Linked DNA regions of Elephas maximus indicus. The protein of the gene in region 1 purifies or fractionates together with the protein of each later gene. This does not show direct contact. Links are inferred from orthologs where the notes say so. Each region holds a gene or a part of one and is shown in the gene's direction. Other genes may lie near its edges. The genes, in order: DICER1, protein argonaute-1 and AGO3.

The links.
Region 2: the proteins of DICER1 (region 1) and protein argonaute-1 purify together in Homo sapiens (co-immunoprecipitation; 7 studies listed by BioGRID and IntAct, with this or other methods). This does not show direct contact. The link is inferred for Elephas maximus indicus from reciprocal best matches to the Homo sapiens genes DICER1 and AGO1.
Region 3: the proteins of DICER1 (region 1) and AGO3 purify together in Homo sapiens (affinity purification with mass spectrometry; 3 studies listed by BioGRID and IntAct, with this or other methods). This does not show direct contact. The link is inferred for Elephas maximus indicus from reciprocal best matches to the Homo sapiens genes DICER1 and AGO3.

The regions. Positions count from the first base shown.
Region 1 is NC_064828.1:108,717,938-108,721,682, reverse strand, and holds the start of DICER1 (endoribonuclease Dicer), read left to right. Parts: upstream 1-1,242; 5' UTR 1,243-1,333; intron 1,334-3,745. UniProt on the Homo sapiens protein: Double-stranded RNA (dsRNA) endoribonuclease playing a central role in short dsRNA-mediated post-transcriptional gene silencing.
Region 2 is NC_064821.1:77,242,915-77,246,659, forward strand, and holds the start of protein argonaute-1, read left to right. Parts: upstream 1-1,260; 5' UTR 1,261-1,479; coding exon 1,480-1,504; intron 1,505-3,745.
Region 3 is NC_064821.1:77,289,909-77,293,653, forward strand, and holds the start of AGO3 (protein argonaute-3), read left to right. Parts: upstream 1-1,384; 5' UTR 1,385-1,951; coding exon 1,952-1,970; intron 1,971-3,745.

The DNA.
Region 1 (3,745 bases):
GCTACTAAGCATGGTTGCTGCTACTATACCTCACCGGGAGTAAACCAGTCTTTCAGGTGAATTCTTTTCAAGAGATGCCTACAAAACCAAAAACCAAATCCGTTGCTGTGTAGTCCATTCCGACTCATAGCGATTCTATAGGATAGAGAACCGCCCCATAGGGTTTCCAAGGCTCTAATCTTTATGGAAGCAGTCTGTCACTTCTTTGTCCCGCAGAGCCGCTGGTGGGTTCAAACCACTGGCCTTTGGGTTAGCAGCCAAGCGTTAACCACTGCACCACCAGGGCTCCTAGAGATGTCTCCATTTGTGGACAAATGAGGATTTTCTGTAAGGCAGCCCCTAACTTCATCTCCATCCATACTTCAAGTCACAGCTACAGGGTACGGTAGATTTGTTCAGATCTAGTCAAAGGAACCAATGACACCCATGCGGCCGCTGCTCCATTTCAGCATCAGGTTATCCCACTTCCCAGAGGGCTGGGGGTCCAGTGGGGGGTCTGTTCTCTCCAAACTGCGGGGTGCCTGCACCGCGAACGCTGCAGTAAGACGCCGGGAAGCAAACAGGGCAGCAGAGGCCCCCGCGGCCGAACGCAGGGAGGAAGCAGGCGAGTGGGAAGGTGCTTTACAATGGAAGGAAGGTGGCGAAGGAGAGCGGAGCTCTGCAGAACTCCAGCCGGCGTGGGCGCCAGAGGGGGCGACAACGGAGGCACCGGAGTCCCGAGGGGCAGGAGACCCTCCCGAGGGCCAGTCGGGCCAGCAGCTCCAACCTCCGCGCGCGGGTCCGGGGAGGCAGCCAACGCGCCGCCCGGCCGCAGGCGGGGAACGCCCGGGTCCCGTCCGGCTCCCGTCCGGCGCTGGGCCGCAAACGCAGCCCCGGCCGGCTGTCTCCCTGCTCCTGAATGGCTGGGGGGCCGGGATTAACCTTTCACCGCCGCGCTCCGTCCAATCACAGGCTGGCTCTCATGCCGCCGCGGGGCGCGCGGAACGTGGGGCGCGCGGAGGGGGCGGCGGCGGCGCGGGTGCCAGTGGGATTCTCCAAGCGGCCGTGCGCCGTTGCCGTGGGCCGAGCGCGGGCTGCGGGCGAGCCGGGCGCTGCGCAGTCTCCGCAGGCGCCGGCGGGAGGGGCTGAGGCGGAGGCGCGGCGCGGCGCGGCGCAGGCGGCTCCAGGCCCAGGTGAATGGAGTAACCTGACAGCGGGGACGAGGCGACGGCGAGCGGGAGGAAATGGCGGCGGCGGCGGCGGCGCCGGGCGGCCCCAGGCGGCCTGGGCTGTGACGCGCGCGCCGGAGCGGGGTCCGATGGTTCTCGAAGGCCCGCGGCGCCCCATGCTGCAGGTGAGGCGGGCTCCCGCGGAGCCGCTTTGTGTCCGGGCGCGGAGTCGCTCCGCCCGGTCCGCTCCCGCCTGCGCGCCGAGGCCTCGTGGGCGCCCTGCCCGGGCCCGAGCGCGGCCTTCGGGCCTGCTCGCTGCCCCGGCGCCGCTGGCAGATGGCGCGGCCTGCAGGGCCCGGCCCGGCCGCCCGCTGTCTAGCTCGGCCCCGGACTGGCACAGGCCCAGCGCCCGCGCCTCCGCCCGAGGCGGTGCTTGGGAGCGACTCCCCGGGGCCGCTCTGGCATGGGGCGGGGATGCGGTACCGCGCTCACCGCTGACCCCCAGCCCGGTGGAGGGCCGGGGTCTTGACAGGTCCAGTTACAGAAATGAGGGTGGGGAGGAATTAGCAGCGGTGGGACGCGAATGCATCCTGGGGACCTGCTGTGCTCGGGGTCGCTGCGCTGGGCCTCCGCTGGCACCTTCCAAAGGGCCAGCACGGAGTAGACAGGGGCCCTCCAGGAGGCTCCCGGTGCTGGCAGGAGAGCGGGAGCCTCGGGCCCCTCCCGGGAAGGGTTGTCTGTGTTTACTGGCAGGCGAGCAGATCTGGGTCCCCAGGGGCCAGTGGCCTAGGCCATCTTTTTGCCCCTCCCCTCCCATGTTTTTGTGCATGACTTCTGCCAGGATGCCTGGCCCCTGTAGATGGACACTTTCCTAAGGGTTTGTAACTTTGGGAAATCAAGTTAGCAGTACTGATTTATGTGGACTTTTTAGAGAAGCTGAGCTTCTGTGATGGCTTTGCCTGCTAACAAGTACTGAGCTAACAAGCCACTTTCTGTATCTTTAGTGTTCTGAATATTTGTAAACACGTGGAGATGCGTGCAGAGTTCTTGCTCCAAGGATCACAGTCGGTGCTTTCGTGAAGAAAGTCATGCTGCAGAGGACACGTTACCTAAGTCTAAATATTCTTATGACTACCAGATTTTAAAAACGTGCCTCTGAAGTCTGTGCTTATCCAGGTTCTTTTGTCTTTGAATCTTCCGAAGCTTTACAATCTTGCAGTTGTCTTCTTGTGGCTTGTTTTTCGCGTGCAGCACGCTCAGCGAATGGAAAAGGGCACAAGTCAGGAGTTAAGTAACTTCGAAAATGTTTTTTTTCTTTTAATATGCTTTAAAAAAAGCTGAATTGAAACAGTGAAAGTTATATTGGTACAAACATTAAACTCTTAATTTGATTTCTGAATAAAAACTGTCTTATCCAAGATCTCAAATAATTTGCTCTATTAAAAAATGGATGATGGTACAAGATTCTGAACGAGCTTGCAAGTCTATAGTGGTTTTACTAATATTAATATCTTTGGGAGCTAGGTTCTGGAATAACCAGTTTATTTTGGAAGGCATCTTTTTTAAAGTAGCTGCCTACCTGTGGTAAGGTCCCTGCGTGGCGAAAATGGTTTTGCAGTTGACTACTGACCTACAGGGTCACTATGAGTTGGAATCAACTTGACAGCACGGGGTTACTAACGTGAATATTGGCAGTTGGAACCCACCCAGTGGCACCTCGGAAGAAAAGCCTGGCAATCTGTTTCTGTAAAGATTACAGCCAAGAAGATCCTATGGAGGAGTTCTCTGTAACACATGGGGTCACCATGAGTTGGAACAGACTCAGGGCAATGAGTCTGGCTTGGTTTAATACGCTGCGGTACGTGTGTATTACCTGTAACGTATGCCGTGTACAGGAGCCCTGGTGGCACAGTGTTTAAGCATTGGGATGCTAACTGAAAGGTTGGTGGTTGGCTGTGAGTCAGAATCGAGTCAATGGCAGTGGGTGAATGCTGTGTATGTATATGTACAGTGAGTCATAACGCTATGAGTCAAAATCAACTCCGTGGCAGTTGGTAGATGAGTAAATGTCGTGTCTATATATAGTAATGCGATAAGACAGCAGAGCTTCCCCACAGGGTTTCCAAGGCTGTAGTCATTACGGAAGCTGACTGCCACATCTTCCACGAAGCGACTGGTGGGTTTGAACCGTCAACCTTTGGGTTAGTATAAGCACTTACCCACCATGCCACCATGACTCCTTGTATTTATATGTACACATATAAAATTATTTCAAAATTTCATTTTCAGGCCGTATTTTTATAAATTTCGTCTGTTTATAGATTAAAAGCACTATAAAGATTGCTTTAAATATGATCGTTATAAATATTGGTAATGGTAACCCAAAAACCCAGTGCCGTCGAGTCAGTTTCGACTCATAGCGATCCTATGGGACAGAGTAGAACTGCCCCATAGAGTTGCCAGGGAGCGCCTGGTAGATTGGTAATGGTAGCATGAGTTTATGGATTTTCTCATGGCATCAAAATGCTATTTTAAGAAAAGATGAATTAGCTTTAATTTGGGAAGTAGAGACCTTCTTTTCCTACAGTTATCTCTTG
Region 2 (3,745 bases), on another chromosome or scaffold:
AGAGCAATTCAGGAGGTAAACATATCAGGAATTGGTGAACAGCTGAACGGGTACAAGAAGCAAGGGAAAGAGAGGAATTGCCATTTCTATGAAGGTGTCATTCACTGAGACAGGAAACAGGACAAGCACGTTTGTGGGGGAAAGAGTTTGTTTTGGCAAATGTTTATGTATATATATTTACTACAATAAAGCAAAAAAAAAAATTTTTTTTTGTTCAGTTTTGGACTCCTTAAATACGAAGTGCTGATAGGCTATCCAGGTGGAGCTGTCCAGCAAACGCTTGGGAATATGAGACTTGGCTGGAGATAGAGATTTGAAAGGATAGTGGATGAGACCTTCAAGGGGAAAGTGGAGAGTGGAATGAGAAGAGAACGGGGTTGGGAACCAGGTGTACACTATTATTTAATAGAGCAAAAGCAAGAGAGGGCCCTCAAAGGAGACTGAAAAGGAATTGGACAAAATGGAGACCTCAGAAAATACAGAAGCCAAGTAGAAGATTCAAAAAAGGAGAGGCACGGATGATGTCAGATAAATAAGAACTGAAAATTATCAACTGGATTTCGGCACAAAAAGTCATTTAAGTGAGGTGATGAGGGTGAAAGCAGATTGGCGGAGTTACGGCGTGAGCTGTAAATGAGAAAGTGGAGGCAGGTCCTTCCCGAGTACCGCAGATAGAGCTCTGTCGCTGCACTTGAGTTGAGACTGTACATCTTTCAGGGTAGGCAGGCTCTGTTTCGTATCTCTGGTCTCAGCGCCCAGTACACGTCCTGGAAGACAGGGTGGCGTCAGTGAGTTCATCGACTGGGGACGGAGAAAGACTTTGCGGAGGCAGTCGCTTTGCAGCCGAGGCTTGAAGGATGAGGGTGATTGGGAGGAGAGGTGGGAGGCAGGGCTCCTGGGTGATGGGGCGCTCGAGTGTGTAGGGGGGGGTCTGGGTATGAGGTGGGGTCCCTGTAATATGCGCGTGGTCCTGTGTGAAGGAGGGTCTGTGTGTAAGTTTGGAGGGGATTATTTTGGAAAAAGATACAGGGCCGGAGGCTGTTGCGGGGGTGGGCCTCCCAGCCTCACTAACGCCGCTGCGCGGTTTCGCGGCGCCTCTACGGGAGCCCTCCCGCTGGGCTGCATGGCGACGGGTGACCACCAGGGGCCGCTGCCTCCGGTCCCCGGTGCCCCCGCCCCTCTCCATTGGCCTTTGTTGCCGTCGGAGCGCCCCGCTTGACTCGTTCCCGTCCGCCCCCTGGGCCTGGCGGCCGCGCCTGCGCACTAGCAACTGGCCGGGCGCTCGAAGGGGGAGCTGCTGCAGGCTCCGCGGCCGCGGCGGCAACGGAGGCTGCGGGGGCGGCGGTGCGAGCGGCCGGGCTTCGGGGGGGGAGCCGAGCCCGGCCCGGGAGCCCAAGCAGCTAAAGTGCGGGGTACCTAGGCCCCTCACGCTGGACTCCAAAGTCTCCAGGCCGCCTGACCTCCGCACGGGTATATGGGATGGAAGCGGGACCCTCGGGAGCAGGTAAGGGCCCCGGGGAAGGGGGGTGCTGTGCGTGCTCCAAGGACCAGAGAGCTCCCGCGTGAGGAGCGGGATTTCCGAGTGAGGGAAGGGCTCCTGAGTGAGGAGAGGGGCTCTCTTGGGATGGGGGCCCAGTTTGAAGGGGGCTGTGTGCAGTTCCGGGAGAGAAGACCTTGTGAAGGGAGCCCTGAGATGGGGGCCATTTGTAGAAGGAGGCTGTATGCAGTCCTGGGGGTGGGAAGTAATCTTGGAGAAGGCCCTGGTAGCACGCAAAGACTCGCGTATATCCGAGGAGGCCTAGGGAGAGGCCCGGCAGGTGGCAGGGGGCGGGCTCCAGGTGTCCCGGAGAGGAGGGGGCGACACAGATGGGCCCGGAGCAGCCGCATGCCGGGGGCGGGGGCTCAGCCTGGCTGGGCTGGGTTAGTGTCTCGGGGAGAAGGCGCCAGAGCTGGGCTGGAATCCCAGCCGCGGGATTCCCCCCAGTGAGTCTGGGGAGCCGGAGCAGAGGCGCCGGAGCATGCGCGGAGGTGGCAGCTGGAAGGGGCTGCCCAGTGTGGTGGGGGCGTGGCTGCCTGAGATCGTTCCCCCACCCCTTAGTCCCGGTTTGGCCTGGAAGAAGGAGCGAGCTGATGGGGTGGATTCTCTAACGTTATGCTGGGAGGGCCAAGTGGAAATGGTCCCTTCCCCCATCTTGGGGTCTCTTACACTTGGCCCTGAAGCCCCTCAGTCACAGTTTCCCAATTAAGGTTAAGAGAAACTGCCAAAGTGCTCCTCTTTGCCAGTAGAGTAAGGAAAGACTGAGACTAAAGCAGTGTTTTGGGGGGTGAAGGTGGGTCCTCCCTGAAGATAGGCCTTAGAAAAGGTGTTCGTTACTGAGGGACCAAGGCCAGGACCAAGTCTACCTGGAAGGGATTTTCTGCCTTCTTTGCAAGTTTCTGGGCCAATACTGAATAGAGATTGAAGCTTTTAATCCAAGGATGAGGACCTTTCTATTGAAATGTGTATTAAGGTGACAGCCTGATCTTTTCCTATACCTCAATATTTTCACGGTTCCTATACTTCACTGGTTATCTGTAGTCTTTCTTTCCTTTTCCCTCTCTCAACCCCCCAGAAACTGTCAGAGCCATGTCATTAGACTCTAGGTTGCTCAGCTAGGTCGGGAGGGACTAGGGTGGGAGATTTTAGCTTGCACCTTGGTGTACTGAGTTCCCGCTGATAGCCTTAACTTCTCCTTTTTTACATGCAAGCAGGAGAAAAGGAACTAAGAACAGAGGAGAAATGGAGGCAGGCCTCCCCAAGAAGACTAGGGCCCGCAGGATGATCTGTGGGGTATTGGGATGTCTTGTGTCCTAGGTCTCTTTCTTACCCTGTGATGGGAGAAAGAACATTCTGGATCCTGGAATTCTTTAGGTGACCTCTTATCACCTCCTTCCATTTGGTCTAGGAATGGAAATAGGATTTACTTCTCTGGTGGAAAGATCTTTGTCTTTTAGATCAAACCTTCTACCTTCAAGGAAATACCTCCTACGAACTCACTCAAATTATCCATTCAGTGATCTATAAATATTTAGTGACTACTCTTCTCCCGAAAAGAGAAACAACCTTACAGAGACTCTGTGGGCCCTAAGGTATGGGAATAGAGTTCAGGAAGCAACTGACTTCAGTGGTCACTACTTTCTCCCTCCCTTAGGTGCCTGTCATCATCTCAGGAGCTCTCTTGGTTTTCTAGGCTGGAGCCTGTTTGCAACAGCCTGTGGACTAGAGAAGTGCGGTGGGTCACAGAGATCCAGATGAATTTCTGAGGGCTTGCACCAATACCAACACCAGACTGCTGATGATTTTATCCTGATGAATTTATAATGGGCTCTGGAGTGATGGAAAAAGTTGACCTTTTTGTTTGTTACAAAAAATAAGGTTCTAGGGAAGGGACAAAGCCTGGTGTCTGCGGTAGCCTTAGGAAGAGCCTAGTGGGACAGGCTTCGCTTCATTAAAGGGTGTAATTGAAATTAGTTCTGGAAACTTCAGGTGGAGGAACCCCATAACTGCCTCCTTCCCAGGCTCAGACTATTAGGAGTTAGGGTGATGGCTTGAGATAGCCCGAGGACACACACAAACTGAGGCATTGTTGCAGGCCTCACTGGGCTTATGCCCAAGTATGCCAACTCTGGTCAGGTGCAGAGGCAGTGTCTGATTTATCTGTGGAACCAGCAACTGCCTAGCATAGGCCATGACACAGAGTATATT
Region 3 (3,745 bases), on another chromosome or scaffold:
TGCTACCACAACTTGGGTTGTGTACAGTCAAGGATTCAAAAACTTTTCAGATACAGTTTCATCTGGTGACAGATTTGAAATTTTCAAATTTGGGTAGGGCATTATCTTTCACAGAGGTAGAGGTGGGAAGGAAGAAGAAAGTGAAGCACAATTGGAGTCAGACAGATGTGGGTTTGAATCCCATCCCCTTATTGTTTACCGTATGGTAGGTACATCTGATAAGTGCTTAGAAATCATAACTATAGTAAATATTATGGGTATCCACTAACATTTAGGGAGGGTTTTCTCTGTGCTTTATGTATATTCCCAAACCTCACAACAACTGTGTAAGGTACATATTCTTTCCATTTTTTCAGATGAGGAAACTGAAGCCCAAAAACATCAAGTGACTGATTCAAAGTCCCACAGTTGAGTGGAGGGAACTGAAGATATTTTTTCTCCTTCATCTTCTCAAGCTTTGAGAAAATGTATTTTGATTAAAAAAAAAAAAAGTCTAAATCTTTTGATATTTAGGGATGTAGGAAAAAACCATGAATCAGCCTAAATAAAATGGTATCATGTTTCATTCAGGCAACAAATATTTGCCAGTGTGCTGGCTCTGGTTTCCTTATGAGGCTTGCACTGTAGTGGGAAGGGGCCACACAAACTAGTGAAATAATTAGATTGAAATAAGGGCTACCAAGAAAGTGTTGAGATAGAATAACAGGGAGCGTCCTAACATAGCTGAGTGGTCCGAGAAGGCCTCTCTAAAATGCCTTAAATTGAGGGTGGGGAGGAGGGGGCAGGAGGGCTGACTGGAAAGGAAGCGAGAAAGGAGGAGAAGGTTCCTGGCCAAGTGCACCAAAAGCAGGCTCCTAGACGGAAAAGCAAAATGCTTTGCCGGTTAAGGGAATCAGAAGCTGAACAGTGTAGCTGTAGTAAAATGATCAGGGAGAGCCTTACTTGGAGAGAAAGGCAGGGGCCCCTTAACGGAGTGCGTTTTGGCCCTGGAAAGGAGTTTGGATTTTCTCAGTGTCAAGGCGGTATTAAGGAGTTTTAAACGTGGAAATTATTCGATCCGATGTTTGTGTAATGTCCTGTTCCTTAATCACCTTTTTCCAAAAGTCGTTAAAGCAACCCTACCGATTTGGGAGATAATCAATTGTGCGGGTCACTTGACCTCTTGTTGAGGGGGAGGCACTTGAGGCAGCCCAAACTAGGGGGCGGGGAGGGACGGACCAAACGTGCTCAACCGGGGGGGCCTCAGTCTCAGCTGCAGGTCCGGATCCTTTACTTGGACAGGCCTAGCTTTCAGGTAGGCTCCTCCCCAGGTAAGCTCCGCCGCCATCCGCGACGTCGCCTCTGGCAGGCCCCGCCCCCAGCAAGGTCGCGCGAAGAGCCCCGTCCCTCGGGGTTGTCTCCGGCCGGCACGACCAGCGGAGAACCGCTGATGGGCCGGCCCCGCCCCGCTCTCCTCCCGGGCCGAGGCTCCGCCCAGGCTCCGCGCCCGCTCCCGGACGCCTCCTCTGCGTCCTCCGCGCCGGCCGCGCCCGCACCGACGTCGCTCTCGCACGGCTTGGGGCGGAGAGGCGAAGCTTCGACGTCGGGCGAGCCGGGGCAGCGGAACTGACGCCAGCGGGCTTCCGGGGGCGTCCCCCGGGGGAGGTCGGTGGCACGGCAGTCGTGGAGGAGCAGTGGGAGCGTAAGCAGTCAAGGGCGACGCAAGTTCCGGACCGGGCTCCCCTTTTTCGCCTCATACCTCTCCTTCCTCTGGTTTAGTCCTGTGTGGTTTCCCGACGGCGGCTCTTCCTAACGCGAGCTTTCGGAGTGCAATTGCTGAGGAGGCGCAGTCGCCGCCCCCGTCCCGGGGCCGAGTGAGGGTGTCTGTCGCGCCGCGTCGCCCCCCGCGCCGCCTCCTTGCCCCCAGTGGTGGGCGCTTTTCTCACTCGGAGCACTCCCCCCAGCTCCATGAATGGAAATCGGCTCCGCAGGTGAGTCTGGGCCGGGCACGGTCGGTGGGGGTGTCACCCAGCTGTTGTCCCCGGAGCCGAGCATCGTCGCTCCTTCCACCCCGGCCCAGGTGCGCGAGGTGGGCACCCTCCGGGCGTCGTCCCTCTTCCCGCCCCCACGCCCGGCCTCTCCGCATCCGCGCCGCAGTTCTCCGGCGGCCACTGAGTTAGCTAAACTGCCTGGAGGGGAAACTGTGCTTAAAAGATTTAAGTTCATTGTTGTTTAGGCGATATTACTCATTTTTTGTGGAATACTCGTTCTCGAGTCAGGAACGGTTTGCCATCGGTTTTGTTTTTATAGTTGAAGAAGTAACGGTGTCCGTGTCCTCTAACTGGGTTGTGTGTCCCGTTCAGTCTCTGGGTGGCGAGCCACCTCCCTTACCTATCTCTTGAGGTAGTTGTGAAGATACATTGAGATAACGGAGGAAAAATGTTTGAAGTAGGTATTAGGTGCAACGTCAAATTTAAGATGGCATTTCTTCCATCCCCTAGTTATCTGTTAATGCTTGTGGCAGCGTGGTGTATAGTTCTGAGTAGCTTGGAGATGTCATATCAGCCTGGATCACTGCTTATGTGAGGAGGTGGATCTTAAAATTACTGAAAATATATATATTTTTCCATTCTCTGTACCCTAGAGAAGCAGTTTTCATTTTCCTGGGAATTTGGAATTTAGGAAAACTGCTTTCTCTCCTGGGGAAAACAGCAGTCTTGAAAAAAATTGCGATGTGGGCAGTTCTTTTAAAGAAAAAAAAAACAAAAAACATGGTGTGGTTCTAAAGTAATTACTTGAGGGACATAGAATAGCTGTTACATAACCGTTTGTTCATCAAATGATGATGCTTGGTATGTTAAATTTGGATGTATGCCTCATCCCGATGGTCACAAATTTATAAACTAATTTAAGAAAAAAAAATTTTGGGGGGGGGACATCTTGTTACAAATGGTATTATGAGTCTCTGAATTTCACATTTTCTTTTGCCAGTTTGAGAGGTACCTCAATATGATATAAAGAATTTTGTTGATAAGGAGTATAATTGTCAATTAGATGCAAAAAGCACTCAGAAATTGGGGGAGTGAAATGGAGAGGAGGTTTATTACAAGTTTTATTACATGGAATTTTCTAAAATCAGCTTCCACATCCTTTTAAAAATGGAAAGTTTGCCTAGATTGTGAAGAGCTTTGAGACACTTTTATTATTAATTCATGTATTTCAGAAGCTGCCCTGGTTTTGAAATTTCTACCATGCTCTTTGTTCTTACTGTATAAAAGGTGCAATGATTTGGGGCTATTTTACATAATTTTCTCTCATAGAAGCCCCTGGGTGATACAGATGGTTAATGGCTGCTAATTGAAAGGTTGGAGGTTTGAGACCACTCAGAGGCATCTTGTTAGAAAGCCTGGTGAACTATTTCATAAAATCAACCATTGAAAACCCTGTGGAGCACAGTTCTACTCTGACACACATGGGATCACCATGAGTTGGAGTTGACTTGGCAGCAGTTGGTTAACTGGTTGGTTAATCTTGTTGTAAAGCTGGAAAACAAAACATGAAAGTTAAACATTTAGTTATTAATCATAATAATCATACCAAAACTTTTAAAGATATATAAAAAAAAATTATTTTCTGTTTCTCTCCGCCCCTCACCTTTGGGTTTTTCATGTGAAATTATGCCCAAATATATGGGCAACAATTTAGAGTAAATACTTCTGAATTCACAATGCCTTAGCCAGCTATTACAACTAGCCGAAGTACAACT